Arabidopsis thaliana: one gene and its partners. The protein of the gene in region 1 interacts with the protein of each later gene in a pairwise test. Each region holds a gene or a part of one and is shown in the gene's direction. Other genes may lie near its edges.

Region 1 (8,034 bases):
GTGTGCCGTAATGTATTTTTTCTTATTTGCGATGAGAGTACATCATATTTGAATGACAAATTGATTTCGATGCGATTTGAGTGTGGTTAGAAAACCAAATTACCAAATTAGTCTAGTTATATTATTTTTTGTATTTTCAATTTACATAATAATATAAAACAGTACTTGAATTTAATTTATAATATAAAACATTACTTGAATATTTGAAAAGCAATACATAAATATCACAGAGAAATTAATTAGTAAAATTAGAATTAATTTTTGTGTTTAAAATGAAAGAAACTAATAATGGTAATTAATTAATATTGTTTAAATTAATAAGAAAGAAAATTAGTCTCATTGAAGGACTTTGCTCAGCCTCTTTGCTTAAACTTATTCTCCTTATGCTTCTTCAATTTTTGGTACGGATTATCAGCTTGCTTATTCCAACAATTTATTCACAATTTCATGCAAATATCTATTGCCGATCGAATACTGAAACTTTGGAATGTTGTCGGTAAAAATTATAACCTCTCTAGACCAGGTTGAAAAAAATGTTGCAAAAAAATGTATAATCTAGGTGAAAACTTTAAAGAAGGCTAAAATTTCTTGCTCCTTTACGTGACAACTCATATACGTAGTTCTGTATTTGAATGTAATGAATGAGGCCACAACATCTATAGTGTTGATTGAAGGTACGGTTTTACATTTTTTGTTGGTTGTGTTGGTGATGATTTGAGGAGAAAAAGGTTATAAAATTTCCCAAAATAGAGCAATGGGGCTATGATAATAGACAGGTCATTATATTTAGGGAATTCGTTTCCCATATTTGAGAGATTGTTACTATTTGGTTAGCTTTCACATCATGAGGTTTTTGTTGACTCTAAGAACAGTGAGTCTTCTTCGTGTACATGTCCACATTGTTTTTAAAAAAATCCTCCTGTTTCAGTCTCTTGTTCATTTATGCGATCATCACTTGTTTTCCTGTTTTAATGTCCAATCCACCATGTTGTATAGTTTTTTCGGTCGGTTCGAAATCATCCTAAACCAAAAGCAGGTTGAATCCAATCAAATGAAACGTACTAAACTCGATTTTAGCGAAAGCTAGTTGAAAACTCTTAACTTTAAGTATAAAAACTTACAAGACACTTTTGTAACCTATGGAATTTGGGAACTCTAAACTAGTCTATGAAGTTTGTAGAATAATTCCATAGTTTTGTTTTTTAAAATCTCCGTATTATATTTTGATGAGGCTTTGTGCCTAGTAAGACCCAAAGCTAGTCTATTAAACTAGCTATTGCCTATGTTGGCTATGTCACTATGTGCTCCGAAATGATCGATGTATAATTGAGCAATGTGCGTGTGTTTAGGTATAGTAAAATGAGGAGCAGAGCATGCACGTACGTGTTGTTGAATTGATGGAACATGGTACGCTATAAAATCAGTTCGTGGTGTCGCATATTTGAAAATGAACCACAGTAGACTCGCAAAACATTTCTCTGTTGATATGAATTGGATCCTATGCATTAATTTCTGAATCTGTTTCCTTTCCCGACATTATATATTGTATATGTTCCACATTTAAAACTGAAAATTCAATTCTAATAATTCTATCCCCTACAGTTATTGAAACAGACGTCACCAAAAAAATCAACACCTTTTTTTAATGGCTTTTTATAAACGAACCCCGAAAACTTGTAAAAATAAAATAAAAAATACTTGTTAACTTAAATAAGTAGATAACATATACTTTTTTTTCTTTTCAAATGATAACAAAATAAAAGTGAAGGTAATTGGGTTGGGTGTAGATATCCTTAATTAACCTGCTAATGGTTAGTGTTACTTTGTTAGTGCGTATCTTTGAAAAAGTAACTATCCATTCTCACATCTACTGTATGACACAAATTTAGTGTAAATTAAGAAAGTATATATTCAAAGTTATTGACCAAGAAAAAAGGACCATAGGAAATGTTGAGTTAATCTCTGCAGATGGACCGTACAAGTCTGCAGCAAATACTCTGAATCTGAGATAATGTATTCCTCTGCCAATTGATATCTTTTTGGTCAAATAAATACATCTACGTTATGCTTAAAGTCTCACCAAACCTAGGTATTTCCTTTGTATATATGGGATAATATATGTTTCGTATATGCATTTATAGCTGCACAATTAATTAATAATAAAAAAAGAAATACTTTACATTCTTTTTTAAAATTGCATTATGGTGTTATGAATATTCATATTGCGACAGAAATTCTAACGATAATAACTTAATAAGTCTAGCCGATCCCTTAAAAAAATGATTTATAACAGCGAATTCTGCGACATATGGTTGGATAGTTAATTTTAAAATCAGTAAATGGTAGAATTGATATGGCAACAAGTAGTCAAGACTATATGAAAAACGGACTCGTTTGGGAAGATCATTAACATTCACATTATGAAGAGACCGGCTATGTACGTAGAAAGAGGGTTTCATATAAACCATCAAAATGTCGAGAGTGAGAGATAAATGGGGATTGGTGAAAAGACATGTGAAGTGTGCGTGAGAGATATAATTGTGGTTAGAAAATAAAAGACGCAAGAGTCAAATCAAATGTATGCTTTGAGCCTTTTTGGCTGTTATAGTTGGGACTACTTCAGATGTTTAGTTTCATCCTCATTACTATTTCCAATTTTCGGTAGCAACCAACAACAACAACAAAATCATTAATTATTTTTTTAAAAAAAAAAGATTCTGTAAATTGTAGGTTTCTTTGTAAAGGAAAAACAAATAAACAACCAATTTGTGATGGTTTAGTGGTTAATTCAAATTGGTTGTGAGATAGAATTCAAAACTTTGATAATGCATGAGCAGTGACCACTATGAATGTATTAAATGACAAGAATACCTAACGCTTAATTCATATGTATCAAGCGGAAAATAGTTAAAACTTGGGGTGAAATCGCCTTGTTACTTGAACAAAAAAGAAAAAGAAGAAGATCATATTCATAGTTCGAAATTCAAACAAGATAATACCAAGATTTTGTTTGGCAAGCAATCGTAGAATAATATGATGTTTTGTTTGGGGCAACAAAGAACAAAAGCAGTTGAACTAAAAAAAAAGATGTTTACGGATGTTTAACAACTTTTCATCTCTCTCCACTTTTCCAAACACATCTCCACTGCTCACAACGTAGGAAACGTGTTCCCTGTCCTTTACTCTTTCTCTGTCCTAGCATTTTTATTTATTTCTTTCATCTCTATACGTTTCCACATTCCTAGTTTTTTCAAAATTAAGTAGTGACAATTATTGTGAAAATGTTATTGGATTTTATTGTAAATGTAGATTATAGCTATTTGGTTATAACTTAAACCAGAGATAATAATACTATTTATACAATAATCCTAAATTAAAATATCTAGAATGTAAATTAAACTGAGTGTTGAAAACAATTTACAATGCATAAATACAAATGTATAGAAATATATATCAGCTTTCAAATCAGTCCGTGACAGTCCATGAACCTTTTAACAGTTGTATAACAGCATTTTGTCAGAAAACAAGGTCACAACATATACATACACGCACATAGCTTAGAGCCATACGTAATAATATCACACAAATATCAATTATGATGTTCAAAGTCATATTTAATATTTGCTCTTCTCCTCCAATGAGGATGGAGATGGTGCATGCTGACGTGGCGTCTCTCTCCATAACACCTTGCTTCCCGTCTTCTTTGTCTTCGTCCTCACATCATCACTATAACCAACAACAACATTGTATCATGTCGGAAGATCAACACCATTCGATGGATCAGACCACTTCATCGGACTACTTCTCTTTAAATATCGACAATGCTCAACATCTCCGTAGCTACTACACAAGTCATAGAGAAGAAGACATGAACCCTAATCTAAGTGATTACAGTAATTGCAACAAGAAAGACACAACAGTCTATAGAAGCTGTGGACACTCGTCAAAAGCTTCGGTGTCTAGAGGACATTGGAGACCAGCTGAAGATACTAAGCTCAAAGAACTAGTCGCCGTCTACGGTCCACAAAACTGGAACCTCATAGCTGAGAAGCTCCAAGGAAGATCCGGTACGTTAATTCTGTCACTTGATTAAGCTTTTACAAGATTCACGTTCTTGAGATTTTGGGTGTTAATGTTGAGCAGGGAAAAGCTGTAGGCTTCGATGGTTTAACCAACTAGACCCAAGGATAAATAGAAGAGCCTTCACTGAGGAAGAAGAAGAGAGGCTAATGCAAGCTCATAGGCTTTATGGTAACAAATGGGCGATGATAGCGAGGCTTTTCCCTGGTAGGACTGATAATTCTGTGAAGAACCATTGGCATGTTATAATGGCTCGCAAGTTTAGGGAACAATCTTCTTCTTACCGTAGGAGGAAGACGATGGTTTCTCTTAAGCCACTCATTAACCCTAATCCTCACATTTTCAATGATTTTGACCCTACCCGGTTAGCTTTGACCCACCTTGCTAGTAGTGACCATAAGCAGCTTATGTTACCAGTTCCTTGCTTCCCAGGTTTGAGTTTTTGTGTTCTCTTTTCTTTCAGTTTTTAATTCCATATCATTTCTTAATTTTCTTCCATTTTTTGTACTATTTAGGTTATGATCATGAAAATGAGAGTCCATTAATGGTGGATATGTTCGAAACCCAAATGATGGTTGGCGATTACATTGCATGGACACAAGAGGCAACTACATTCGATTTCTTAAACCAAACCGGGAAGAGTGAGATATTTGAAAGAATCAATGAGGAGAAGAAACCACCATTTTTCGATTTTCTTGGGTTGGGGACGGTGTGATCATCATCGATCATGAACAAGACTGGCTTGAGTTAGTTAACAAAAGTTATGAGATGATTTGAGTCCTTGTCGATGTAGTTATGTTGCGTTAATAATTGTAGATTAAATGTTGTTGTCCTTAGTCACATGCAACATTCCTTACCCCGTGTTAATTAGCACGTACATATATACCACTCGTTGGTTAAAATCAATGCTTTCATTTATGTAGATGCCAAATTGTCTCACCTTTACCAAAATTGATTTGAAGTGTAAAACATTTGTACCACTTTATAGTTCTAACTAACTCTTATCTTATATGAAAATGTCAGATTCCGTCATTAATGTCCAAAAATTGTATGGAGTGAGAGTAACAACATGCTTCGTATATGAAGAGGAAGGTGACATATGTTAAAACAGGGACGATGATGTGGATATAAGAAACGACAAAGAACGATAGAGAAGTCAAATTAAAAGGAATAATGTACTACATTGTATTTATTTGGAGTATGCAGAAGTTTAATAACAACATGCGATATTGATGAGGTTGCAAGATTCAGGCACAGATTCTGCAACAGAAAGTCCAAACATCCACTCTTTAATATTCTCACACCCATTGCATTTTTTTATTCTCTCCAAAGCAAAAACATATTTTCATTTCATTGCCCCTTACTTATGCGTCTCATCGACCTCATGTCACCCACATGGCCCCTTCTCCTAGTTATTGTTCATTGTAATAATCATTTGATTTGTATCATGATACTATTTGTATACGTCATTGTAGTTTTAGTCCAGCTTAACACATTTCTATGACTAAATCGAAATAATTGATTGATTTATGAAATTAAGATTAAATTTATGTAATACCGTTTTTCACTAAACACTTCCCGTTGTTAATTGTTTTTTTTTAAGGTTCCATAAGATCCACAAGAAAAGGATAAAACGGTAAGGAGTGTGCAATGTGCACCACTTAAAATCTATTGCTATTCCAGGCTTAGGCCCATTCTCGGACCCAATTTCAGTTTTGTTTGGAAGTGTTTCAACTTTTTCTTTTTTTATGTTAACCGATGTGATTCAATTTCTCGAGCGAGAGAGTACCAATATAGAATGAATATCTCAATTTTGTTTCTAATTTATTAGATGTTCTTAAAACGATAAGTGAAAAGCAATAACGTATATATTGGTTGATTAAAATTTAAATCAAAACGTCGAAAACAGATAAGTGTTGAAGTAAATATCAAACCAAAACCTCTATCAAAGGAACATTCATGTTAATGTAGTTCCTTATGTAATCCAATAATTAAATATTCATGACTTTTTCTTTTTCTTTTATTATTCAAAAAGAAAACAATTTTTTCTGTTTGTTTCCTTAAAAAAGCTGAACTACTTTACGAGAACATATACGTATGGTCCAGGTGAAAGCTGAGTGGCCTCCTACAAAGTCTACCTAACTTTATTCCTTTCTTTCACATTTAAGAAATCTATTTCATAACTTTAGTCTTTAGTCGTATGATAATAATGATTCCAGTTAATAAATCATTTGCAATTTTTATGATGACTAGACCTTGGTAACGAATTTTCCAAAACCCTTCTATATGTTTGAGCTACCGATGTTGCGTATGGTTTTAAGTATTTGCTCTCCAAGTACATTTCTATTCTTTATTCTTTCTCTCCACTCGAGCACCTCAAACTTTTGTGTTCCTTCGGTATCCATTGTTAAAAATGAGAACTCACCAACAACTTAGAACAGTCTTCCGGTTTGGGAAAAGAACATGCGTAGCCTCCCTGCTTATTCTTTAAACGTAACTGGATTTTAAGCTTTTTGTGCAGCTAAAAGAACCAGTCTTTATGGACCTTTAATTTTCACATATTTGTAGAGCTCAAAAACAAATAAAACATTTATTTACTTTTTGTGGAAGAATAGTATATGAGATCAACTATATAACATGAACTTGGGTTGCCTCTCAAAATGTGATATGCTATAATTCTATTAAATTATTAGACAATCGAAAGATTTAAATGCTGACAGTTTAACAAGTAATATTTTTGTTGTTTTAAAGTTTTGTAATCTGCATTTAAGTCTCATTTGAAAGGACATTATATTTACGTTTCATGATCATGGAAGACTCGAAAGTATTAACAAAGATTGGTGTCAAATCTCAAATGATTATGATCCAAATCTTGGAATTACATGGTTATAAAAATAGGTATAGAGCAACAAGCTAAGTATCCATACTAATAAGTAGAAACATTACAACATATCAAGTAATAATCAAAATGAGTAGTATAAAAGATTAGTGAAGGTGCAAAAAGAATGGAAAAAGACATTGGAAAAAAAAGAATAATTGCTTTTTAGAAAAAGTGACTTTTATGCTCTTCTTTTAGCTTTTTTTCAGTGCCAGTGGTTGGATTCTTCTCTTTAATCCAAATATGAAAGTGAAAGATGCTCTGCTTTCTTTGGTTTCATATTCCTCTTTTCTTATCTCTTATCTTAGATTAGTTTGACCCATTTACACTAAGTACCAAAATCGTACAAGCTAATAGTCTGGTACCTCATGCTCATCTGACATGTATTTACCAGAGAGGACAATTTGGAGTTGAGATAATATTTATCTCATGATTCATGGGCAAAAACGTAATTGTAAGTTCAAGATAGATCACGTAGATATTAATCTAAAGGTTTATATATGTTGCAACTTCATCACACAATGGAGAGAAATATCTACAGCTCCAAAAATATCTCTGTTTGTGTACAACAGTAAATACTATATCTACTCTTAGTTCCAAACAACAAAACTATCTACACAGCTTTGCCTTCTTCCACAAGGTAACAATTAGCCAAACTCAAATCTCTCAGTTCATGAATATATATCTATATTAGTGTCTGATTATTGTTGCATGCTCTCCCTGAAGTTCATAGCTCTAGACATCGCTGCAGGGTTTGCTTGTAGACTGTGAGAAGTTTCGGAGACCAAGCTACTTCTGTTGCTGTTTCCCTTTGTGTCAAATCCATTGAACAAACTGAATCCTTGCGTTTTTTTCTCGGGTTTTGTCGGTAACTTAGACCACACAGCGCTCTTACTAGCTTCGATATTCATTCTAAGAGATTCTGAGACCAATCTTGCTCTTGTAGTAGTTATTGTTGTATTAGTATCATTGATTCTTCCTTCAGTTTGATCTCTTGACCGTTTTCCTAAACATGATGAAGTCTCTGAGGTAGGGTATATCGGAACCGTGCATCCCCAGTAGAAGGGGACAGGGTA
Region 2 (9,533 bases), 1.0 Mb from region 1:
TATAATTAAGTAAATTGATTTTTGTTTCAATTCGATAATGCTAAATTGTAAGTAACCGAGTAATTCTGGACTAGTAGGACTCGAACCTAAAACAATAGAACTGTCAACACATGGTAACAAATTTTAGGGTACTCTTATAAATGAAGTTTATTACGTAAATAGGAATTGTTCTAAGCTTTTGAACAACAAAAAGAGAAAAGAAAAAATAGTTTAAGTTTGGTTGAAAATAATATAAGAAAAAATTGATCTAAGCTTTTGTCGTTTTAGGATACTTAATCCAACAATATATAGTTAATAGATATTTTAACTTTTAATGTATAAGAAAATACTAAAACGACAATTACTTTAACTGATTGTGACACAAAGACATCACAAAAAACAATTATGTCATGTCTTGATCAATTAATAATACTTATATCTAGTTAAATTCATCACAAATTAATTAAATTTTTGAAAATAAATTTAAAACAATAAAATTTATAATACAGTATATAAATCGATTGAAATATTCAATGCATGTAGGAAGACAAATCTCTCACTATATATGTAAACTAATTTAAAATACATTATTTTCTCACCAAAAAATACTATTTTATTTGGACCTATAATAGTTTATAAATTTAAATATTTTCAATGATTATTGTTTAAATTTTGTAATTTATTAGCATTAAATAATTTAAAAAATGTATGGAAAATCAATATTTTAGAAACAAATGGAATATATGTAATGGTTTTAGGTGGTTTATTGTCATTGTGTCATGATTTCGCATAGGGCCCTTTTAGATCTTACATTGTTGGATCGTTTACGTGGATAACTCTGTGCATCTGTTGTTAACAGTAAACCGTTTATGCATAAAAATATTATGTCGGGAGTGATCATTATATTAGATGGCATAAAGTTGATACTTGATAAAGATCGAATTGTCGCGAAAACAATCTTAAGAATAGTTCATATTCAAAATATACTTAGTGGTTGCATAATAATGAGTTTGATGGGACAAAATTTTACCAGTTGTGTTACTCAGATATTAATCAAGACATGTAGTATAATTAAGTAGTATATTGTGTTAGTGTAGTTATGATATACCAAACTTTAAATCCGCTCAATGCATATTCTTCATATCAAATAGTGTAATTTCGACCAAATTGGTATCTTGAAAATCATTAAAAAAAATGCTAAAATATTTTTTTTAACTAACTAAATGTTTCTCTTCATAAACTTATAACATAAATTTAAAAATGTATTAAATTAGTAATTGAATTTGTATTTACTAAATTATTTTTATAATTATTAAATTAACTTATGGTAACTAATATAACGATATTGAATAGTTGGATATTTAGAAAAAGAAGATGAGGGGAAAATAATTCTTATACTATTTTCTCATAACATTGTTTAAGTAATATTAAGGAAGACTATCTTTATAGTACATATGTTATTGTTTTTGAAACATTGGACTGATAAAATCATTATTTTTTTTCTTTAGCCATATATATTTGATTAATTGATCTATTTTTAGAAGGAGATCCAATTATCTGAAAATACTATTGTAACATGTTTCTTCTTTATTATTGTTGAATCATTGACATTCTTTTTGTTTTCAAACTAACTTTGCACTAATTCTTGTAACAATCTCTATGTTTGATCAATTATAACTTCGGCGATCCTTGAAAAAAATATCTAAATTATTTAGCTAGGAGCCTAGGACTATATATTATTTTTGCCTACTATAGTACTACTTGGATGGTTTTGAAATTATGGTATCTTTTTATGTCGCAAATAAAAACTAGAGGTACACGGACTTAAAGGAGACAAGAGTATCATAGCCTTAGATTTATTTTCCACCGTGTTTCTAAATAGTGGGATTCTTTCGAGTTTCGATCAAATGATTTTTCGCTTAGATTTCGTTTTGCATCACATATTTAAGTTGTTGCTTCCCTCTATTGGTTAAAGCGACCAAACAACTTTGTTACACAGCAACCCTAAGTCGTGTCATAGCCATCTAATTCTCACATCTTCTATACCGCATAAAAGTTCGATAATTATTAATTAGACTAATGGAAAGATGCCACCTAGTTAATATACAAATTAAGTTGGGATATCGTCTCTTATTCTTACATATGTCAACATCAAGAATACTTTGTTTTAAGCATGACATGATTACATTAATAAAGCATTACCCCACACGCCGAAATGTTATTCTTATTTTTATCCGTGAATTTTTTCTATGATCAAATTTGTCCGTCTAAGTGGATTGAATGCAAATGTGAGTGTTTAATTCCCATCATCAGTTGGAAGATCAGGGATTCTTTTTGTACAAGATTGGAAGATCAGGTTTTTGAGTTGAATATGGTTTGATCATCATCATTTTACGAACATTCGAAACTTGCATAGTCGAGTAATTTTTATCTCTCAATTTCTGTTTCTTAATCAATATCCACGTAAGTTTTTTTTTTTTTTTTTTTTAAACAGTTGTTTTTAAGTATCAAAGACATGGGAACCAGACAGTTGAAAATATATTTTTAAGACAAATTTACATATTTTAAATGTCTTCTAATCTTAATATTTTAAATGTTTTCTAATATTATCTTGTTTTAAAAAAAGAACACATATTTTCAAATTATATGATATTGTTGTTACTATTATTTCTTTTTTTACTATAAATTTTGTGACAATATATATATATATATATATATATATTAACCATTTTTCGGCGGTATAAAATAGTTTACCACCGAGTAATTGCATTCAATCGCACGACCAACAAGTTATAGTATTATTCACTTTGCCCCAAACTAAAAGTTTATTTTAGAAAATTCATTAACAGTAAATTTCATTTCCTTCAAAATACATTTTTGTTCTGTTTTTATTTATTTATTTAATATATTAACATTTATCATGTATGATGATTGATGAAGATGATTTTCTCAACATTTCTCTCCTTTTTTTTTTGTCTCTCAACATTTCTCTCCTATATAAAATTTAAACTATTGAACGAATGTTACTGCTACGAAATTATAATATTTACTCTAAGTTGTCATCAGGATTCTATTACTTTAAAAGCCAAAATTTACTAATCAAAAACTAGTTGATAGATTGTAAAATTAATTAAGCACATTTATTGATTTAAAATTTATTTTTTACTCTACAAATCGTGATTTCCAAGAGTTGTATCTATATAAAGGCAATATGCTTTCGGACCCATGCATGGTCTTGATGTTTTTTTACGGTTATTCCATTACGGGTAGGGTTATGTGATAAACGATATGATTTCATATAAAAAGAATAAATCAGCGGTCATTGTCTCCGCATGGTTCGGGGAAAAAATACTCGTATAAATAAGCCTTTAGATTTCGAATTTATAAAGCTTTGACGTCGGCTGATACATAGAAACAAAAAAAAACTTTGATGTCAAGCTCTCTTTCCTCTTCCTGTCCATCAATACGCGTTACACACGCACAATAGAAGCAAATTATTGTTTGAATACCTAAAAGAGGATAGACGACATAATTATCACCGCAAACACTCTAAATTTTGGGATATAGCTTTCATTAGATTACATTTTGACTCACATGGTATACGGCAAAAAAATATTAAATTCATGGCAACGTATAAAGTTGATATTTCAACATGTTATAATTTCTCTCTCTTCGAACATGAGTGTAACAAGACGAACCCCAAAGCCTGCAAAAACACACAGAATCTTTTCTTTGGTTTTGTGGACCGGTCTACAATCTCACGTGCAAAACCAAACATACACGATCTCTCTCTCTCTATATCTCTACTTTTTCTGAACTCAGTTGGTTTCGATTTTCTTCGGACCTTCTATTGTTAAATCAGCTTTATAACCTCACAAGCTTCTCCTCTATTCCATAGATCAAACCACAACTTTGTTTGACCTTTTTTTGAGTACTTCTCTTGTCTTTTCTTCTTCAAGTTTACTTAGTTCTTTGAGAACAAATTTCTGTTGATTTTTTTTCTTTCTTGTAGAGGGATAATTACAAGTTTAATTTCCCTAGAGTGTCTTTACCTTTTGCCTTGTCTCCCTCTCGAGACAAAAAGAGAAAGAGAAACACTTTCTGTCCTCTTTTTTTTTCCTCTCTTTTTCTCTCTCGCTGGAAACCTTTTCATATTCAAGTGTAATTTTAATATTTCAAGCAATTTTCTAGCTAATTATGGCCTTGGAGGCTGTAGTTTACCCGCAAGATCCGTTCTCCTACATCTCTTGCAAAGATTTTCCGTTTTACGACTTATACTTTCAAGAAGAAGAAGATCAAGATCCACAAGATACTAAGAACAACATTAAGCTAGGGCAAGGACAAGGACATGGTTTTGCGAGTAATAATTACAACGGTAGAACCGGAGATTATAGTGATGATTATAATTACAACGAAGAGGATCTCCAATGGCCACGAGACCTTCCTTATGGATCTGCCGTCGACACCGAGAGCCAGCCTCCACCGTCGGATGTGGCGGCGGGAGGAGGGAGGAGGAAAAGGAGGAGGACGAGGAGTAGCAAGAACAAAGAAGAGATCGAGAACCAGAGGATGACTCACATCGCCGTTGAAAGAAATCGCCGGAAACAGATGAACGAGTACCTCGCCGTTCTCCGGTCTCTCATGCCACCTTATTATGCTCAAAGGGTTAGTCTCTACATACAACAGTTATATGTATATGTGAGTGTGAGCGCGTGAAATATTCAGTCCTTTAGCTGTATTTCTTGACGTGTCAAAAAAAAAAAAAAAAAGCAAAGCCTATGTTCTAGGCTTTCAGCTAATTAGGACATGCATAGGCTATACATAGATATGTCATATGCATGTATGTTTATATGTTTTGAAATATAAATTTGAGAATGATGATAGATGAATGAAAGCCGTTATATATATTGACAAAAAATAAAAACTAAACGAAAGTCGTTATTTCTTTTTTTCATAATTTTATTAGATCATGTAGTCTCTAAATGAAAATTTTGTTAGTGGAATTGTGGGAGCATAAATAAAGTCTTGAACATCATTGCACCCAAAAAGGACTATACATATTATAGATTTATAATGAGATGGTGACATAATATATTTTTTAAAAAATTAAGGTACGAAATATAGACATGTTTGATTGTTTTTGCAAAACCTTTTGCAATTTCTATGTGCTAGACTAACATAAGGTTGGTGGTGGTTAAAGGGAGATCAAGCATCGATAGTAGGCGGAGCCATTAACTACTTAAAGGAGCTTGAGCATCATTTACAATCAATGGAACCTCCGGTTAAGACCGCCACAGAAGACACCGGAGCCGGCCACGACCAGACCAAAACAACCTCGGCTAGTTCGTCGGGACCATTCTCGGATTTCTTTGCATTTCCTCAGTACTCGAACCGGCCTACCTCTGCGGCGGCGGCTGAGGGGATGGCGGAGATAGAGGTAACGATGGTAGAGAGCCATGCGAGTCTGAAAATACTTGCGAAAAAGAGACCGAGACAGCTTCTTAAACTGGTCTCATCGATACAGAGCCTAAGGCTCACTCTTCTCCATCTAAACGTCACAACTCGAGACGACTCCGTCCTCTATTCCATCAGCGTCAAGGTACATTTTTTTCTCTCTTTTTCACCATTTTTTGTTTTTTTTTTCCTAACCAGATTAGAGTGATCATGTTATATAATACCGTTGTTTAGGGTTAGTGGGTTGAATTTGCAAATTCAAATTAAATTGGTATCTAATAATTAATGGGTGACTAATCATTACTCCCATTGTTGGTTTTGGTTCAATGATTATTCATTGATTGTTTTTCCAATCACAAATGTTTTGTGCATTTAATGTGTCTCTTATTAGTACATGTTGTGAATTATTTGTCTGGGCCAAAAAAGGTTTTCCAAGAACAAAAATAAAAATCGTTCCTTTTTTCTCGTTCTTTTTTACTTGGTTAGGGCTGGCCTCAATTATTGGGGGGTCAAAATCATCATTTCTTATTTATTAAAAAAGACAAAATTTTGAGTACTATCATAATATTGATTCTTGTAAGAATCAGGGACCAAAAAGATGACATATGCCTACACATGTGTGAATGTGTGTATATATATATGTGTACTGGGCATGTTTGGTGGTCACAACACTGTGGATGCACTGTGCACGGCAGAACGAAATGACGCCACTTGTTTCAGGACACATTCATAAGCTTCTTCCTCGAAATATAAACATTTTCTTTAATCATCTTTTTACCTTTTCAATGACTATATATCAATCTTTTTCATGTAACTTAAAAGAAAATATTAAAATAATGGGTTTATTCAGGTTGAAGAAGGGAGCCAATTGAATACAGTAGAAGATATTGCAGCAGCTGTGAATCAAATCCTAAGGAGGATCGAAGAAGAGTCATCCTTTAGCTAGTATTGTTGAATTTTAGTTATGGCACATTTAGAGGAGCTCTAATTTTTCATGTGTGATCTTTTGCTCTCTCTTTTTCATATATTAAATAATATAAATTTCCTTTTTCTTTTTGTTAACGTTAATTCTAATGCATTATATATTGGAGTTTTTGTGTGATTGACCTTTTAGACCTGATCACAAAAGAGGAACTAGCTTTTAAGAGCTCTATACGAGAATAGTAATTATAAGCTTGAGCAATTGAATTTTCCCACACATAAAAAAAAGGCTTGAACAATTTGACTGGTTATGAGATAGCTGAAAAAAATTCAACCACACTTATATAAATATACCGGTATGAGTCATGTGAAGGCGTCCCTAAAAGACTCGGTATATCGTGAATAACCGGCTTTGCACGGTTCGTTTAAGAAGGAATTAGTTAGAATAGTATATTTTGTGAAGTAATGTCTAAATATGCGCTAATTAAGAAAAAAGTTTGATGAGACTCTCATGGTCTGAATCAGATGTTTTGAACACCCATGACATCTAAGACACCCGCAAAGGGCCACATATACGATCGTAAATAATAATCTAGTCTGGGGTCGGAGAACACTTAAGTTCTAATCGGAGAGACTTTTCAGACTCAATCCACCACTAGTTTTTGGGTAAGCAAACATAGTTTAAAACTATATTTGCACATTCGCAAAAGGGAGATCCCTTTCCAAAGAAACACATTGAAAATTCTCTTTAGCTTATTCATAATTATTATTCTGAGAATATATTAAAAGAATGAATGTGATATGTATATGCTTTCTCATGAAAAAATGACTTCAACCTTTCTCATGATTGTTTACTGAACGAATGGGTTGAATTCGCTTTAACGATAATTCTACTTTGACATTTTCTGCCTCACTTGAGTTTTCAAACTGATATTGTTCGAGAAAATGTATTTACGAAACAAACAAAGGGAGTTTTATATAAATATATACCAACGGAGCCATGCGAGTACTAAATGTCAAATTTTGGGGTATATTACATATTTGGAAAAGCTTGGTAGATGAATTATTGACCTCTTTTCTCTTATATCCAAAAACAATTATTGTCAGCAAAGTTGTCTCAAATTATCGTTTTGCATCAACATATGAAAACACCACTTACAGTCCAAATTCACACCATATTTACATATGGGATTATATAATCCGAGAAAGATACGAACAAATTAAGAGACAGAAGAAGTTAAGAAAATGATTGAATAAAGGTAGAGCTTTTTTTTCTTGAAAACTTGGAGGCGTACTGAATCAGCAGTACATGGGATTCATGCAAGAAGACGATGATGATTGTCTTATCATGAAGACATATCAAAGATCTTTCGAATCTCTGTTTTTTTTTCACTTTTAGGGTTAAAGCCAGAAAAAGTAAAAAGTAAAGCCTATCGATGTGATTACACCAAAATCAAAATTTTATTCCCTCTATTTTTATCAATAACAAGGACCTCTATTATATAGCTAACTGTTAGATTTTAGCATCTTTTTCATGATTGAGACTTAGAATCATCAACTTTTCCTTAACTTTGCTTTTAGTAAATTTTTGGTTTTAGATGTGATTGAAGTGGATATTTATATTTCTCCACCGCTAGTTTATATGATCTTAATGGAATAAATGTTTTCACATAAAAGTGAAAAACAAATTTGAACACCATTGCTTTTTCATGTCTATATATCACTTTCGCCGCCATACCTTATAGGAGGTTTTTAAACCTCATAGATAAACGACGCCGTTTAAAGTATCCGATTGGGTTAAAATGTTAGGCCATTTATGGATTTGGGCTTTTCTGTATTAAAGTTATGGGCCCACATTTTCCTCTGTTGCTACATAATATTCTCATTTACCATAACTCCTTTTTTATTTATACATAACTCCTTTTCTTTCTTTAATTTTTTTTTTTTTTTGCAAGAAATGGTTTAAAAGTATATTTTGACTTTTAATTAAACGGACTATATGTGAATCTTTAAGTTAACCATGCTTGAATGAACTATGAACTATGAAGTCTTCCGATTTTTGAATTAGTCATGCTAGGTATAATTGAACACTTGTGCATTACTCTTTTTACATTCGAAAAAATGCTTTTCGTAGAGACGCTTTACTACAGCGGAAAAACCGAACTCTTGTTTTTGTTGAAACATGAAACAGAGGAGGAGCTTCCATTTGTCTTCAACGTACTCGACGAAATGTCTGACTGACTTTTCCCTTCATCTCCGGTTGTTTCGCCGTTCAATTCACCAGAATCACAACTTCTCCGTAATTGGTTGCTGCCACCACCGTTTTCCTCAGAGCAGCTTGCTTCATCTTCTCCGTTATGTCTAGTGAATTCCTCACTCTGATTCTCGCATGATTTCCCCGGAAAATCTACACTTTCTACATGGGTTTTCGTATGCGAGAGAGAGTTTACTGAATCTCCTCCATTTGGATCCATACACTCCTTCAAAACCCTAACTCTCTCTTTCGTCTCTGTTTCAGATCCATCACCGTCTGAATCAAATCTATAAATCTCAATTCTTATGTCTGAATCATCACTCTCTTTAAAATCAGAATCAACTCTGTTTTCAATCTCTCCATGATCTTCTTCATCAACTCCATCGTTCTCCAAATGTGAACCTGATCCTCCGGGAGTTACTTCAACCGGACCAGAATACCGTGGAGTGGTGACACTAATCATCGCAATACCAGCACGACACAGAGGACAATTGGTGTGAGAACTAAGCCAAGTATCAATACAAGAGATGTGAAAAGCGTGGTTACATTTAGGCAATAACCTAAGACTCTCATCTTCTTCAAACTCGTTTAAACAAACTGGACAATCTGTTCTCTCGATTAAACCATCTCCTCTCTTGTAATTACAGATTGTAATCGAGTTAATGATCGATTGTTGTAGACCTGTTGTTCTTATTAACCATATTGGGTGATCCACTTGTTCCCTATCTTGAAACTCTTCCTCCATTACCGTGTCGTTGTCTTCGTTATCGGATTGATATGTTCCTTGGTTGACACGGTTTACGCTGTCTGAAAAGAATTTCGCTACAAGAAAGAATCCGGTTAAAAGGATGGCTAAGACCGCACCGGTTATGGTGATGATGGATATGGCGTCTAAGGAAGATGAAGAGTCTTGAGATGGTAGATA
Region 3 (7,424 bases), about 20 Mb from region 1:
TTGATCCACTAAAACATCCAGAAGACATCTTATCATCTTCCACTAATAAAATTTAAAGAAGACTTAAAAACGAAAATAGCAAGTCAATATTTAAACCAGTTGACAAACAAAAAGCCACTGGACTTTATAAAACCCTTTACGAAAAAGACAACAACTGACTTTGGCGTAAAAAAAAAAATTATGAAAAGAAAACGATTGGCTCTATCGTGTAATCCTTGCTTGATTTCTTCCACAATCATTGGCATTGACAAAATAATAGAGTTTTCTTTTTTTAAAAACAAAGCAATTTTAACATTTATAAATGTATAGTTATTACGAGCTATTTAAATAGAGTTGCCTTAAACAAAAAATAAAAAGAGAGAGAGAGTTGCCACTCTGTTTAAAACCTAAACCACATATTGGTTTGGTAGGTACTGCTTACTCAATAAAATCCGGTTGAACAAATCCTCTGCTTTTCTGCTTCATTTATCATTTTTAACTTTTCAAGTTGACCCATCCCACTCTTCATAGAACTCCTTAAGATACTCTTCCATGAACTTGTGCCTTTTCTCTGCCCTCCTTTTACCCGCCTGATATGTTTTCAATCCACATTAAATCTCAAATCGAAACAAATTTTTCGCGTCAAAATAGAGTTGCGGTTAAACTTACCTCAGTTTTCATCAGCTTCTTTAGCTTGAGGAGTTTCTCATGAAAGTGATTAATAGTAGTTTGCTCCTCTCTCTTAATGTACTGCTCTTTGGTTAGCTCTGTCCGGGGCTTGATCTCAGGATCATGAAGCACTCTGTTCCTGCTTCCACCAAATGTAAAGCAACGAGCAATTCCTATAACAGAAAGAGATCAACAACAACTAATAGCACAAATTCCATAACATAGAGAATTTTCACATGACATCAAAGCAGATATTTGGCAATGACATATCAAAAGCAACTAAAGAAAAGAGACGTATTCTTACCTATGGCGCCAATTGCATCAAGGCGATCAGCATCTTGAACTACCCCAAATTCTGGAAGAGACTCACAGAGTGCTACTCCTGCTAATTCGTCTTTAAAACCTGGAAAGAATACACTTGTTCTGTTCACAAATTTATATACAACAGAATGACTTAATTGTAGTGATAAATCATGTACATTATAGTTGATTGGATATGTTGAGTAAAAAGTAGGAGCTGGAAACTGACCCATTCCATTGATGATCGTTAGTATCTTCGTCTTCTTGGTCTCTTCTATACCCTCATCATCTAGGAAATTCTCAACAAGTTTCTCTTCCGAAGGGTCTCTGAATTCCGGTTATAATTATTTTTGCCATGAAGCAACATATCAGCGGAAGGAAAGCAATCTTCAGCATTCATAGTTAAGTAGTTTTTATGTTTATATCCACACCAAGTTCCACTTAGTAGAGCCTAGCAATCCTAAGGTAAGCAAATCTGACAAGGAATTCTCACAAGCTTTACCTAATGGCATTCGCAAACAAAACACTTCCAAGTTTCTTTATTCATCCAGTTTAGATAAAACAAAGTTAAAAGCAGGGAACTTAGAGAGTTTCATGAGAAAAGTAAACACTTTTGTTTCCTGGAAGTGTGATCAAGAATGTTGGAAGGGACATTACTAGTCTATACTCAAGCGGTTCAAAAGAAAAGAAAACTTAGAGAAACAAACCTTATGTACTTGTAATCACCTGATAAGAGAGAGGGCAAGAGATACGAATTATGATCAACCTGTGGACTAGAACCACATTACTAAAACAGAAATGAAAATAAAACCAAGTACCTATATCATGGAGAAGAGCTGCAAGCTCCACCTGCAAAGTATCAACAGAAATGGTTCACTCTAAAGTAAAAGAGCTGAAATTTGACAATAAACAGCTATAGCTAACTAGAAGAACTAACTAGAAGAAGGTTCATCAGGCTCAGCTGAACTAGAACTTTGAGATTTAGGGATTTTTCAAACTCACAATTTCCATGGAGTCAGAATTGGAAGAGAGACCTTCCTCGCGAGCAATGGAGAGAGCAAGGTCTCGGACCCTCCACACGTGCCAGGCGTCATGAGAAGCATCGTTTCCTTTCATCGCCTTCTCCACCAGCTCCTCCGCCTTCCTCATCGTCTTCGCCGCCATCTATCTCTCTCTCTCTCTCAACTGCTCAGTTTCGAAGATTGGAGAGATTTTGATTTTGCAATTTCAGCGTCGGAAGCTCTGTTTTAAAATTGATTCAAGTTTGCCGTCTCGGCTCGACGTTGACCACCGGAGTCAAAGAGAAATTCGGGGAAGGAATTTACTCATTTTACCTTTTTACCCTTACGTATGAAAGAATTTATTTATTTATGTTTTTTTAAAAAATATTTAAATTTACAGAGATATTTTCACATATTATTGTAGATTAAACTACACAAACTTTGCCACTTTCTGTTAATTATTTTAAAAATCTCTGTACTGATTGTTATAGAAAACCTATTCTTTACATTAATCGCTGGCTATATAGTACTGATTTGTCAAGTTGAAAGGTCGATTTATATAAACTTATGACTTTTGGATACATTTTTCAAAACAAATTTGATCCATTGAAATGGAGATTGTCTTTGGTGTTTTCCCTAGTAAGATTTCAAGGTTTATCTTTGTCCCCGAACCTTTTCAATTGCATTGGTTATGAAGTGGTTTATCTGCTTTGGTGTTTATAAATATTCGGGATTTTAGTTGTTTCTAGAGAGGTAGTTCAATAATTGATTATTTTCCAAGTTTCTGTTCTTAAACTCTTTTTTTTTTTTTTTTTTTTTTTGTTCTATGGAATAGATTGTAATCAAGTAACAAGGATGTCATCAAATCACTTCTTGGCCACGAATGAGATACTTAATTAATTTGAATATGTGATCAATTTGTCACTTAGACATTTTACCGTGATATTTGGAATTCTTAAATATCATATGTGTAATTTGAATATGTGATCACTTCTTGGCAAGAAGACGTCATATACTCATATGTTTTTCTTCTGCTTGGCATGACATAATTGTTCTACATGCTACGTTTGTATATGTGTACGTGATAGTAAAAAGAGATTCGTGTATATTTAGGTAGACTATGCATATATTATATAAATATAATGTGTATCACAAATTCACAATCGATTATTCAATAAACGACTAAAATGGAAAGTAGTATCTCGGATTTTATATTATTTCTATAACTTTTGTATAAGACAACACATGTCTTACATTTTTACGAGAAGCTATCTTTGATTCATTGAATCATTCCGAAAAATATTAATTAATTGGAGGTGCATTTAATACAACATTCCATAAACGTACGAAGAAAAGTAAGACAAATTAATTCCTTTATTATTACATAATCATGAACGACTATAAATCCCTCGACCAAGGAAAAACCTAATGATATTTTCATCTCTCCCCTCTCGGTTAGTCATGAAAGATTTGTTCATGGAAGGAGAAAGAGAAACTTCATCGATGACTTGCTTGACGCCCAAGGATTCTGTTCAAAGCCCTAACATGTTGGTTAGACAACCAAAAAAGGAGACAACAACACAAACCCCTAAAACGACACGAGGAAGACAGAAGATAGAGATCAAGAAAATCGAGGAAGAGACCAAGAGACAAGTAACGTTCTCGAAACGCCGTCGTGGGCTGTTCAAGAAATCCGCTGAATTGAGCGTTCTCACGGGCGCAAAAATCGCCGTCATAACGTTCTCTAAATGCGATAGGATCTACAGATTTGGCCATGTAGACGCATTGATAGACAAGTATCTTCGTAAGAGTCCGGTGAAGTTGGAGGGATATTCCGGTGATAACGCGGCGGATGAGGAAAGTAGGAGACCGTGGTGGGAGCGTCCGGTGGAGAGTGTGCCAGAAGAGGAGCTTGAGGAGTACATGGCAGCATTGAGTATGTTGAGAGAAAATATAGGGAAAAAGATTGTGGCGATGGGTAACGATCGGACGGTTGATATGGTTCCGGCATGGCCAATCAATGTGATGGGATGGAAACCAACGATGGATATGCAAAAATTGGAAAATCTGACGGATGGGGTTAATCGATGCCGTGTAGGTCAAAACGGTGATTGATTAGTCCAGTCGTGAAGTATTCCTCTAATGAATTTCTAAAATATTTTATTTAGTTTTGTTAAGTTTAATTATATGATTTTATGCTATTGATCATCAGATTGTTTCATCTCTTGTATACTTCATACTTTGGAAATTCAGTTGTTTGGATTTTTAATCTTTGAACCATACATATTACATAATGTAGAACAGTATTCTATCAGTTAAACCAGCTTTCAATTTTTTTTAAGATTTGACCTGCACATGTACCATATTTATATACCACATGAAGTATTTTTGGCAGATTGAAACTGCATTTTCTCTTGGTCGTTTTCTTATTTTATGTAAGGCGTACAAGAAAAAGCAAATAACGAAGGAAACAAGTGATTCTTACAATTAAGAACAAACGGGAAAGGTTGGAATGCTGGTTCCTTAAAACAAGGAAACCAAGTCACTCTTATTTATTTGCACGACACAAATTGACACAGAATAATAACATAGACTAAGTCTTAGCTTAATCCCTAAACATGCAATTAGGTTTTCTCTTTCACGTGTTTGACCAGCCGACTCTCTCAGGCCTCAACACATCCAGTCTCATCATTGACCAATGTTGATAATTTCTCCACGGACAGCATACTCATATTTGAGAACCTGTGTGATCATTTATATCCCCACAAATAAAAATCAGAAGCAGTCAAGAAACGTTTTAAGACATCAGTCTCTAGAGTGGAGTCAAGAAAAACCGACCTTGGTATTGATGGAGTCAAGAGTTACGGGAAGAGAGGAAGAGGAATCAGAAGCAGAGATATCGGAAGAAGAAGCAGACAAGTGACGCGATGAAGAAGCAGGAGTAGGAGTAGGGACTCTTCGGAAGCTATCTTTTTCTCCTCTAACTGATGCTTTCTCCTGATCCTTGTCAATCTGTATAGGGTTTGAGCCACCCCTTGGGATTCTTCTTAAGCTATCTTTTTCTCCCTTAAGTGGCTCTTTCTTCATCTCCTTGCTTACATGCAAATCTCTCGCAGCTTGACTCGAATGTGTCATCGTTAACAAAGAACGGCCCTCTACACTATACTTGCTGCTAAAGAAAGCTACAAGTAACAGAACCAGAGCCACTGAACAGTATCTCTTCATTGTGATTTCTCTTCTTGTAAATCCGTTAGGATTCTTGAAAGCTCGTATCTTATTCTTGTGACAGTAACTGAGACAATCTTGGATAGAGATATGAGTTAGATAACTAGAGACTTCTAAAGCGTGTTGCTTTATAGACCAAGATTTGTGTGTGTTTGAAGAAATAGTTATTGGGATCTAATTACGTGATCTTACTTTGACTGCTGCTATAATAATCAGATTTTGAGTCACTTACCTTATCATTTACTGATGATGATATTACTCAGCAGCATCTACATTATCATATGTACAGTACACATTACCTAACTCATGTGCATGCTTTGAAGTTTAAGAGATGGTGGCCATGTGAATAGAGAACGTGACTACTGTCTACATTTTACTAAGGGAATTTGGAGGTATTAGCGTAATTCTCCAATTTCAGAAAGAATAAATTGCAGGTAACAGCTGTTTTGTCTCTCAACTAATCACTACTTTTCTCCACAATCTTTAATCTTATGCAGTTATTTATATTTTCAAACGAAAATGATTCTGTGAAATCGAAACTTTGAACATGGAATTCAACAATGGTTCAATCTTGTGTTTTCTTGATGAGATTACATTTTGACTAACCGTTTATAAGAAACTCTCTCAATTTATATTACGGTTTTTCACTATAAAGAGAACAGAACAAAAAGTGAATAAGAAAGAGAGCACTAACTAATGCTCTCACATCTTAGCTTCTGTAAACACAAAGTCGATGAAAAAGAAACGGCATGGGACCTTTTTCTTATTATTACTCATATAATCTATAGAGGGATCTTGAAAACAGAATGCTTAGTCGCGGAACTCGTCCATGAAGCTCTGGTGGAACGCAGTTAGACGATCAACAATCGCTGGAATCTTATCCTCTTGGGGAAGTATAGTGCACCTGAAATGCCATGTTCCAGGTACCTACATCAAACCGAACAAAGACATAATCAATATCAGCAAGTGAGGTTTTAGTTTTGGTTCTTTGGAGAAAAAGCTATTTCTTTTTTTCAAACCTGTCTAAAGCCAGAACCAGGGACAACGACTATTCCAGTAGCTTTTAGAAGGCGTTTGCAGTAGAAATTGTCTGGTGCTGTCTTTTCCGCCTCAGCAGCTGCAATTGCCTTTTGTGGAAGGTGAAGGCAAGGGAATAGATACATAGCTCCTTCTGCTCTATTGCATGTAACTCCCTCTAGCTTGTTCAGAGCCTCTTCAAGAGTCTGCAAGGTTAGAGTTCAAACACTTTAAGAACAGAAAGTTCTAATCTTGAATATTCCTAGTTGTCTATTAAATGGCTAACCTTTGCACGTCTTGCCAAAGATGAGAGAATTCCATCCTTCTCTGCTATGTATGATTCATAGGAGTCGTCACCAGGCTGATCAAATTTAATAAAAGCTATTAAGGTCAATTATCGATGTGCAAGTCCAAGCCAACAGGTGGAAACTGAATCAATTGTGATGATAAAGTCATATAGATGTTTTATACCTTGGGTGGGCTCATGATGAGGCTAGCAAGAATTTGACCAGAGATGTTGGAACAAAGATTCACAGAAGCCATTTTGTATATCTGCTCTCTTACATCAGAAGTGAATCCAGTAACCTCCATGTAACCACCTCTTTTCCCACACTCTCCATAGTACCCTGTCAGAAATAATGAATTCAGTTTTCTGACTAGTTTCCCATCGCAATGATCAGAATTATCAATTGACTAAGAGATTTGTTTTTGTATCAAACCTTTGGAGACAGATTGGAAAGAGACTAAGGCAAGATCCTTCTCACCGTAGCCCATAGAGCGGGCTACTTTCTTGAAGGAATGGAACTTTTTGTCAGGGACATAGACATTCTCTTGATAAACCTCGTCTGCTAAAAGAACTAAACCCTCTTGCTTGCAGAACTTAACAACGTCACGCTGGTTTTCTTCCGAAAGAACCTTTTACCAGAACAAAGCAGAGGTCAAATTTAGACGAAACTATGAAATTCACATCGGTATAAATTTGTGAGTTTTAGTCTTGAAGATTAATTTACCTGCCCTGTCGGGTTTCCAGGGTTAATGACAGCCAAAGCTCTCACAGTGATGCCCTTTGACCTAGCATCTTCAAGTTGTTTCTTCAGCTCAGATATTTCAAGACCCCATCCTGATGCTTCATCAAGGTAGTATGGAACCTACCAGAAGAACATGACGACAATGAGAAGAAAGACAAAAGAAACTTTGGAGACAGATTCATTTTCCCATTTGATATAGTAATGC
Region 4 (7,833 bases), on another chromosome or scaffold:
CTTCTTACTTTCAACAGAAGGAGAATTTTAGTCATAAAATAAAAGTGATGGAACTTGAAGGAGAAGTGAAGAAGCTATCGTCTCATCAAAACCCTGAGTGGAGAACTCGTGATCAAGCTCGAATCAAGGCAAGAAATCTCTAACTTCTCTGTGTATTTATTTAATTACTCTTTTTTATTCTGATACTTATTTTCTTTGGTGTCATATGCAACAGGAAGAAAACAATGTGTTGAAACTTCAGCTAGATGAGCTCAATTTGAAGTTACGGAGAGCAGATGTGAGTGTTTCTCGTGCCAAAGAAGAGCTTGCTTTTTACCGAGCATCTTCTGTAAAGAACCCGCATTCAAATTTTGACAAGACGCATCAGTTAAGTACCAAACTGAAGGAAACCGAAGAGGATAGAATGCAGCTTGCTCAGGAGCTATTAAGTCTCTGCACCAGTATCCTAAAGGTAAGAGGAACAGTCATAGTTTTTCACTGTAAATAAACTCCAAAACGTACGTCAACATAATAGAATTCTAAACATCTTTTTGTGGACTGAAATTTCCCTCAGGCAGCAGGTGTAACAGGAGAAGACTTTACAGACATAAACCCTGAAGTTGCTGAAGAGGCACTTGAACAGCTCAAGACAAAACTTGGTTTACTTGAAAGTGAAGTACACCACTTTAGGTTAAAGGTAAGAAGATATAGTTCCATTTGAAGCTTCAATCCCTGTAGCTTATCCCAAAATAAGTATTAAGAGATGATTGAAAAAAATCATGATGCAGGGAAAAGCAAAGAGCAGAAGAAGTAGGAATCCTGAGAGAAAGATGCCTTCAATGCCTTCTCCTCGAAGATCATGGAGTCAGAGTCCAAGAAGTATGTCTCAGGTTCCTTTTTTCTCTTCTTTAGACAGGTGAAAGAACGGTATGTTTGTATGAGAACAATCAGTCAGTGTATATTTATGAATGTTTCATGTAACTGTTATGCGTGATTAGTAAATAATTTTTATAAACAATTCAACGAAACATATATTACGAGCACTTCTTCTTCTTCTTCTTCAATTACTAACAAGAGTACAAATCAAAAGCCAGCATAACAAAAGGAAACATTCAGAAACAGAGCACAAATTCAACACGATGATGCAACCACGCAGGTCCTCCTTTAAACTATCGGAGAGGCTGATAGTTTAAAGAATGGAGTCTTGATTTTGAAACATTGTTGATTTGGGAACATCATGCCAATCCATCAACAATTTTTTTACTGCTAAGCTAATAAAAACTGTGGTGCTTAATTTCTTTTATTCGTTTTTTTCCCCTTAGATTATACACTTTGCTTAGGGATTTTTCCTTAGGAAAAAAAATAAATTCAATATAATAATCGAGTGTTTAAGTTAGATATAGTTATTAACATGTTTTTATCCAACAACGAAAAATCAAAACGGTGGCGCTATGATTTAGGATCGGGAGATCTTCTTGTTGGCGAAATAAAACAAATATTTACATTTTGATTTTGATTTTCTCTACAAAACAAATTAAATATATATATTTTGATTTTCTCTTCAAAATTTTATCAAACAAATTTCTCTACAAAGACAAATGTTAACCTTATGAATATACAAACAAAAGTAGGGTTTGTGTTTGGTGAAAAAGAGAGAGTAGAGAGACGATAGATCTCGTCCTTCAAGATGGTGCATTCGTATAGTTTAGAATTGTTCCCAATTCGTCATCCTCGTCCTCGTCCAAGATTTTACTCACCCTACACGAGGTATTATATATGTCTAGTAGTATTTTCATTTTTAAAATTTCTTTTATTGTGTTTTTGATTATTAATTATCCTTCCAATAATATTCTAGAACACTTGCTTCTCCTCCAAGCCACCCTTCACATTCAATCCCAAGGAGGAAGAATTGTTTTGAATTTCTCGAAGAAGTCTTCAAACTCGAATCAGTTTCAGAACAAATATCCAGAATTGACGAACGAATTCAGGAACTCGAAGTGAAGCAGATGAAAAGAGATGCAGGTAAAAATTTATATATTTTTTGATATCTCTATTTGATCAATTCTTTCTATTGCATGAGAATCATGTCTATTTTTTTATTTTATTTTGCAGTCATTGCCAATGTGTCTAGGATGATAACGGAGTTACAAATGAGAACCATGGAGGAGCGTAGGAATATCGACGAGGATGAGAGGATTACCACCGAGGTACTTAGGAATATGGAAGCGATGAGAAAATAAGTCTAACAACTGATTTTACATCAATAGACTGTTTCTTATACTAGCTACATTGGTATATATATATTAATGATTACTTTTGCTATTTTATATAGGTCATTATTAATGGAGACTCAACTCCTGAACAAGATGTGAGGATCAAACAAGGGTTTAAACCGGATTTATGTTTTTTTTACTTGATCAAGTTTTATTTAAGAAAAAAAATAGTGATTTGCATTAATTTTATCATATGCAATTTTTCAGTTATGAAAAAATAAAGAAAGATTCGTTTAGAGTAATTCAGATTATTAGAGACAAAAAGCACAAAAGCTCAAAAAAGACAAAGTTGGACGGAAAAATCTATATATGATTAAAGCAACGAAAAACAAAGAAAAAATCAAACACACACATTGTGTAATTTTTTGTGTATATGGAAGAATAAAGTGAGGCGATCGGAATGAACATCATTGATCATGCTTTCTCAAATTCTTCTCTGATCCTAAAACCAATAAAATGTTGTGTTAACTTATAAATATCATCCATCAGTTTTTACATTGTAGTGTATCGTCTCTAGTAGAGTTCAGCAGTGATCATGATCATCACTAATAGTTATGGCGTTCAATTTTCGTTTTCTCTAAATGTTTTTAAGAATTATCGAAGGAAACAAATATATACATTAAATGCTTCTTTAAAATATATAAACTCTGTTTAGAATTTCAGTATTGAAATCTAAATTATAGTTTGTTTAGATTTTACTAAAGATCCTAGTACTCCAATAAATACAATCTTTGTATTTTTAAATAACACTGATATTATTGATCTTATCCCTATCATTAAATTCAACGACAAAAGTAAACTTTGTTGCAAAAGAGAAGAAGACTATAATAGAGAGACGACAGATCTCGTTCTCAAGATGGTGCACTCGCATTACACATTTGAAATCCGACAGGCCCGTTCACATTTATTCTTAATTCGTCATCCTCGTCCAGGATACTTTAAGAAGAGGTAATTTCTAGGTTTTTAATGTGTTTTTTCCACTCTGATTTAAAATCCTTTCTTCTCTCCCAAGCTTCCCTTTGCTTTCAATCCCCAGGAGCTGGAAGGATTGTAATGAGTTCGAGCAAGAAATCTCAAAAATCGAATCATTTCCGGAAATAATATCCAGAATTGATGAATATGTTGCACAACTTAAGGAGGAGGTGGCCTATCTAAAGATAGGTATTTATTCAGAGTATCTATTTGATCATTCTTTCTATTTTATTCTCCTTTTTTATCTTTATGTGTTTCATATTCGTGTAGCCAAGGCGATTGTCGAAGAGAGGGCTAGGATTCGCTCCATAAAAAGAGCGGAGGCGCGTAAGGTTTTAGAAAAGTAAGTTTAACAATTGACGACTTTTTAGAGAAATTTTTAATGATATTGACGACTTAGATGATTAATTATGATCATTATCAACCGTTTAATGATTACTTTTACTTTAATAGTTTAAGGCAAACTCTACTCGGGGAGATGAGGAAGAGGAAGGCTGACGAGGATCTATGAGAACTGATGATCACATAAACTTCATGCTACATGCAATAAACGCGGTTAATTGGGTTTTGTTTTTTCTTCAACATCAACCCGACCTAGCTAGGGTATTATCTATATATATGGGACATCTTATCATCTGATCTGCATGTACCTATTTTTATTATTATAAATGCTTCATATATTAAGAAGAAAAGTTGTAGGCTTGTAGCAACCGATTCATAGTGGAAAATCCTTTTTTTTTTTTTTATGAAAATCAGATCGGCCGCAAAAACAACTTTCACCATGCACGAAGCTAGAAACTGCATTGATGTACCGTGTACGCTGTTTTTAATATAAAATAATTGCAGTTTTATTAGTTAGGCTACAAATATGAAATCAGGAGAAATATACCAATTAATGTACGTCCTAATTGCTTGGTATGTTACATAACCTTAAGTTGTATAATATTTATTAATTTATTTTATACTGGAGTTGATAGCTTTAAAAGTTGAGAGCAAAGTAACTTGAGACCATTTTAGAGTTAGCAAAGTAATGGAGAAAATAAGAAAAATCACACGCATGCAGCATGATGTATAATTATTGGAAACATGTATTTCCAAGAAAGTAATCAGTTCTCTGTACGCCTGAATTCGATTTTCATAAAGCTCACTTCCTTGGATTGCTAGAGCAAACATTTATATTGATATCTGCGTTAACATCATAACATGTGGGTTTTTAGTAATTCTCAACAGTATGGGTATTTTTGCTCTCTCTAGAGAGGGTAAATTTGTGATTCCATCTGCAAATTATTCCTCCTATATATATATAGAACGTGATGAATCAAATTTCTTAAGTTGCAAGCCATGACTAATCTTGATGAGTTTCTTGAAGAGCTAAGTTCTATTGAATCACATTCTCAGAAAATCGTGAAGATAGATGAGCATTTAAAAAAGTTGGATGAAGAGACGAAAGAAGATGAAGATGAAGATGCGGCGAAGATAATTCAAGATCGGAGTACCGCGAGAGAAGCAGGTTAATTTCTTCTCCTTCACCTTGTAATTTAAAGTTGTTCCTCTCTCATTCTCAAATCTTGTTGGGTCTTGGAAACGCAGAAATTGCTCTACTTATGGATCTCCGTCAGAACTTTCTTCCACCACCATCGATGTCATCCTCCTCTCTTCAACCACCGTCATCGTCAACTCTCGCACCATCGTCATCATCCTCTCTTCAACCACCCGCACCGTTGATAGACTTCTTTCGGTCATCAGTGTCATACTCTCATCAACCACCGTCATCTTCAACTCTCGCAACATCATCGTCACCGTCTCTTCAACCACCGTCGATGTCATCCTCCTCTCTTCAACCACCCGCATCTTTGAGGGAATTCTTTACGTCGTCAGTGTCATACTCTCATCAGCCATCTTCATCTTCAACTCTCGCAACATCTTCGTTCTTTCCGTCGTCAATGCCATACTCTGTTCGACCTCCCGATTCGTCTGATCGACCATCTTTGAGGGAATTCTTTCCGTCGTCACCATCATCCTCTATTCAGCCACCCGAATCATCATCATCTAAGCGAGCACGGCTTAGTAACATCTTTCCGTCACCTTTATCCTCCTCTCCGTCACCGTTTGTTAACCCGTTTCTCCGTCCGCAGGCCCAAGAACCAACAATACCAAATTTCATAAACCCAATACCACAGATCTCTCCAGGCCTACCTGCTCTATTCCCAAACCCTAACCCTAATCCTAACCCTAACCCAATCCCAAACCCAATCCGAAACCCAGACTTGGTGTGGACAAATAGGCTTCAACTAGTGTTTGATGACGCAGTTGTCAGACTTGGGGGATTATTCAGTATGCAACTTTATAATTTTTTTATTTATTTTGTTTATTCTTTCAACTCCTAACTATTTTCCTAATTTTTTTTTTTTTTTTCAGGTGCAACACCCAAAGCCATAAACGAACTAATTTCTGAAGAGGGTCTCACTGGTGACCAGATCCGTAGCCACTTACAAGTCTTGCGGGATCGTCAAAAGGCTATTGCAGACAAATTAGCCTTGGAGTGAAGAAAATATTGAAGATGAGAGATAGGATTAAATAGAAAGAGTGATAGTATAGAACGTTTCTTTTTCTTTTGTTGTTAATCTTGCATATTACAAACAATTACTATATCATAATAGAATTTATGTTAATGTTGGAGTTATTAAAAAAAAAAAAGTTAACCATAATAACATTCTTACTGTACGCATGAGTGATCATTTATCACAATCTATTAGAGCAACCCCAATGGGTGGGATGATGACAGTCCCTAAAAAACCAAAAAATAATAATATTTTAATTTTTTAACATAGTTTGACAACTAAAAAACCTACACATGTACATTTAATCTTCAGGTCCCTTATATAAGGGTTTTTGGAGCCCTTCTCTCCTGTGTCCCTTCCATTTTAATTATTTTTTTTTTTTTTATATTGTAAGGGACCTTAAGAGAGACCACCATTGCTGGTGCAGGCTGTAGAAAAATTTGTTTAGCTTCTCCTTCTTTTCTTAATTTTGACAGATAAGTCTCAGCCTCTCTCCCCCCATAAGGGTATGTCTTGACATTTAGATTCGTTGAATCAAAAGTTTTTCATGTTTGTTCATATTGTGGTCTAATCTTCTTAGGCAGATATGACCTCAGGGAAGAAAGATTATTATGAGTTGCTCAAAACTACAATCTTTAAATAAATATTTGGGTGATGAAACTTCTAGTTCTTTTTTTTTTTTGGTCTAAAATGAAACTATTACTTCTAGAAGAGAAATATCCAACTCTTTTTTTTATTCCAAGCAAATGATAACCAAAAATGCAATAAAGGTGTTAATTTTTATCATAAATATATTCTAACTATGGTCGTAACTTGTAATGGAACACCTAGGCATTTTTTATTTTTTTGGTGCACACCTAATTCGAGGAAAAAGGTTGAAGTAATCATAATTACATAAGTTTCTAACTATGGTCGTAATCGAACACATCTAAGGCGTAGTAATAATTAAGGAAAAAGGTTGAAGTAGCAAAACGACGAGGTTACGATTTGTAAATTCCATAAATGCCCTCTCTCATTTTCAACCTCAAAGAATCGTTTTTGGCTTTCATCAGCCGCTTCGTATTTTTGTTTTCTTCAGTAACGGAAAAAATGGTTTCCGACTTGGACCTCGTGACCCGACTCCGTGAGATTCTCGGTAGCTCCGACCTGAACACGGCGACTCCGGCAAGCGTCCGTCGTCAGTTGGAGGCGGATTTCGGTGTGGACTTGACAGATAAAAAAGCGTATATTAGGGATCAAATCGATACTTTTCTCGAGAGCAATGGCGCGGTAGAAGACAAACCTGAGAGTCCCAAGGTAGAAGAATACATTAATGCCGACGAAATCAAGGCGGAAATTGAAGGAGGCGATGGAGAAGACCTCGACGGAGATGGAAGTGGAAGTGAGGAAGAGAAGGAAGAACGGTAATTACTCTTGTAATGATTGTGCTTTATGTGAAATTGGATTTTTGAAATTCAAATATCGATGAATCAGTGATCATACACACACACAAAGATTGAGTATTTATAGGAATCTTTAGCATTTTTCAATCGAACCAATCAAAATGCTTCCGATGCATTTCTAATCAAAGACCACTTGTTTAATGACTTAAGTTTAAGGGATTATTGTTCATTGATGTGTTAGGCCAGTAAAGGCCAAGAAGCGAGGTGGTGGCATTACCAAAGTATCTCAGTTATCTCCACAACTTGAGAAAGTTGTTGGAGCATCTCAGTTAGGTCGAACCGAGGTAATTTTCATCTTCTTCCGACAACTGTTCTGCGAAGCGGAATTGTACTTTAGTCTTTTGTGTTGTGTATATTTATCAGGTTGTGAAGAAAATGTGGGCATATATCCGAGAGAAGGATTTGCAAGACCCAAAGGATAGGAGGAAGATAGTGTGTGACGAGTTGTTGCATTCCTTGTTCCGTGTTAAGACCATTAATATGTTTCAAATGAACAAGGCATTAACCAAGCATATTTGGCCCTTAGGTGATGGAGATGGTAATTCTTCCTTGTCATTATACAATTCAGAAAACTTTCACATGAGACTGCATGATATCTGTATATAT

The links.
Region 2: the proteins of MYB105 (region 1) and AT1G72210 interact in a two-hybrid assay, tested with the Arabidopsis thaliana proteins (one large-scale study listed by BioGRID).
Region 3: the proteins of MYB105 (region 1) and AT1G17310 interact in a two-hybrid assay, tested with the Arabidopsis thaliana proteins (one large-scale study listed by BioGRID).
Region 4: the proteins of MYB105 (region 1) and AT3G19070 interact in a two-hybrid assay, tested with the Arabidopsis thaliana proteins (one large-scale study listed by BioGRID).

What each region holds. Positions count from the first base shown.
Region 1 is NC_003070.9:26,154,112-26,162,145, forward strand, and holds MYB105 (myb domain protein 105), read left to right. Parts: upstream 1-3,590; 5' UTR 3,591-3,595; coding exon 3,596-4,067; intron 4,068-4,143; coding exon 4,144-4,512; intron 4,513-4,595; coding exon 4,596-4,795; 3' UTR 4,796-4,983; downstream 4,984-8,034. Other genes in the region: AT1G69570 (Dof-type zinc finger DNA-binding family protein), read right to left, coding at 7,660-8,034. UniProt on the Arabidopsis thaliana protein: Probable transcription factor that involved in boundary specification, meristem initiation and maintenance, and organ patterning. Functions in both lateral organ separation and axillary meristem formation.
Region 2 is NC_003070.9:27,175,890-27,185,422, forward strand, and holds AT1G72210 (basic helix-loop-helix (bHLH) DNA-binding superfamily protein), read left to right. Parts: upstream 1-3,568; 5' UTR 3,569-4,176; coding exon 4,177-4,644; intron 4,645-5,179; coding exon 5,180-5,578; coding exon of another isoform or gene 5,579-5,641; exon of another isoform or gene 5,642-6,283; coding exon 6,284-6,379; 3' UTR 6,380-6,567; downstream 6,568-9,533. Other genes in the region: AT1G72220 (RING/U-box superfamily protein), read right to left, coding at 8,499-9,533.
Region 3 is NC_003070.9:5,924,654-5,932,077, reverse strand, and holds AT1G17310 (MADS-box transcription factor family protein), read left to right. Parts: upstream 1-3,244; 5' UTR 3,245-3,377; coding exon 3,378-4,064; 3' UTR 4,065-4,153; downstream 4,154-7,424. Other genes in the region: AT1G17330 (Metal-dependent phosphohydrolase), read right to left, coding at 483-569, 649-821, 953-1,051, 1,178-1,275, 1,656-1,674, 1,767-1,797, 1,951-2,112; AT1G17300 (uncharacterized protein), read right to left, coding at 4,638-4,691, 4,788-5,174; AlaAT1 (alanine aminotransferas), read right to left, coding at 5,985-6,101, 6,194-6,397, 6,478-6,552, 6,663-6,817, 6,911-7,106, 7,202-7,339.
Region 4 is NC_003074.8:6,589,208-6,597,040, forward strand, and holds AT3G19070 (Homeodomain-like superfamily protein), read left to right. Parts: upstream 1-4,565; coding exon 4,566-4,734; intron 4,735-4,814; coding exon 4,815-5,558; intron 5,559-5,642; coding exon 5,643-5,770; downstream 5,771-7,833. Other genes in the region: POK2 (phragmoplast orienting kinesin 2), read left to right, coding at 18-128, 215-451, 554-676, 768-899; AT3G19055 (uncharacterized protein), read left to right, coding at 3,109-3,200, 3,289-3,413, 3,495-3,567, 3,684-3,735; AT3G19080 (SWIB complex BAF60b domain-containing protein), read left to right, coding at 6,875-7,188, 7,409-7,511, 7,591-7,765.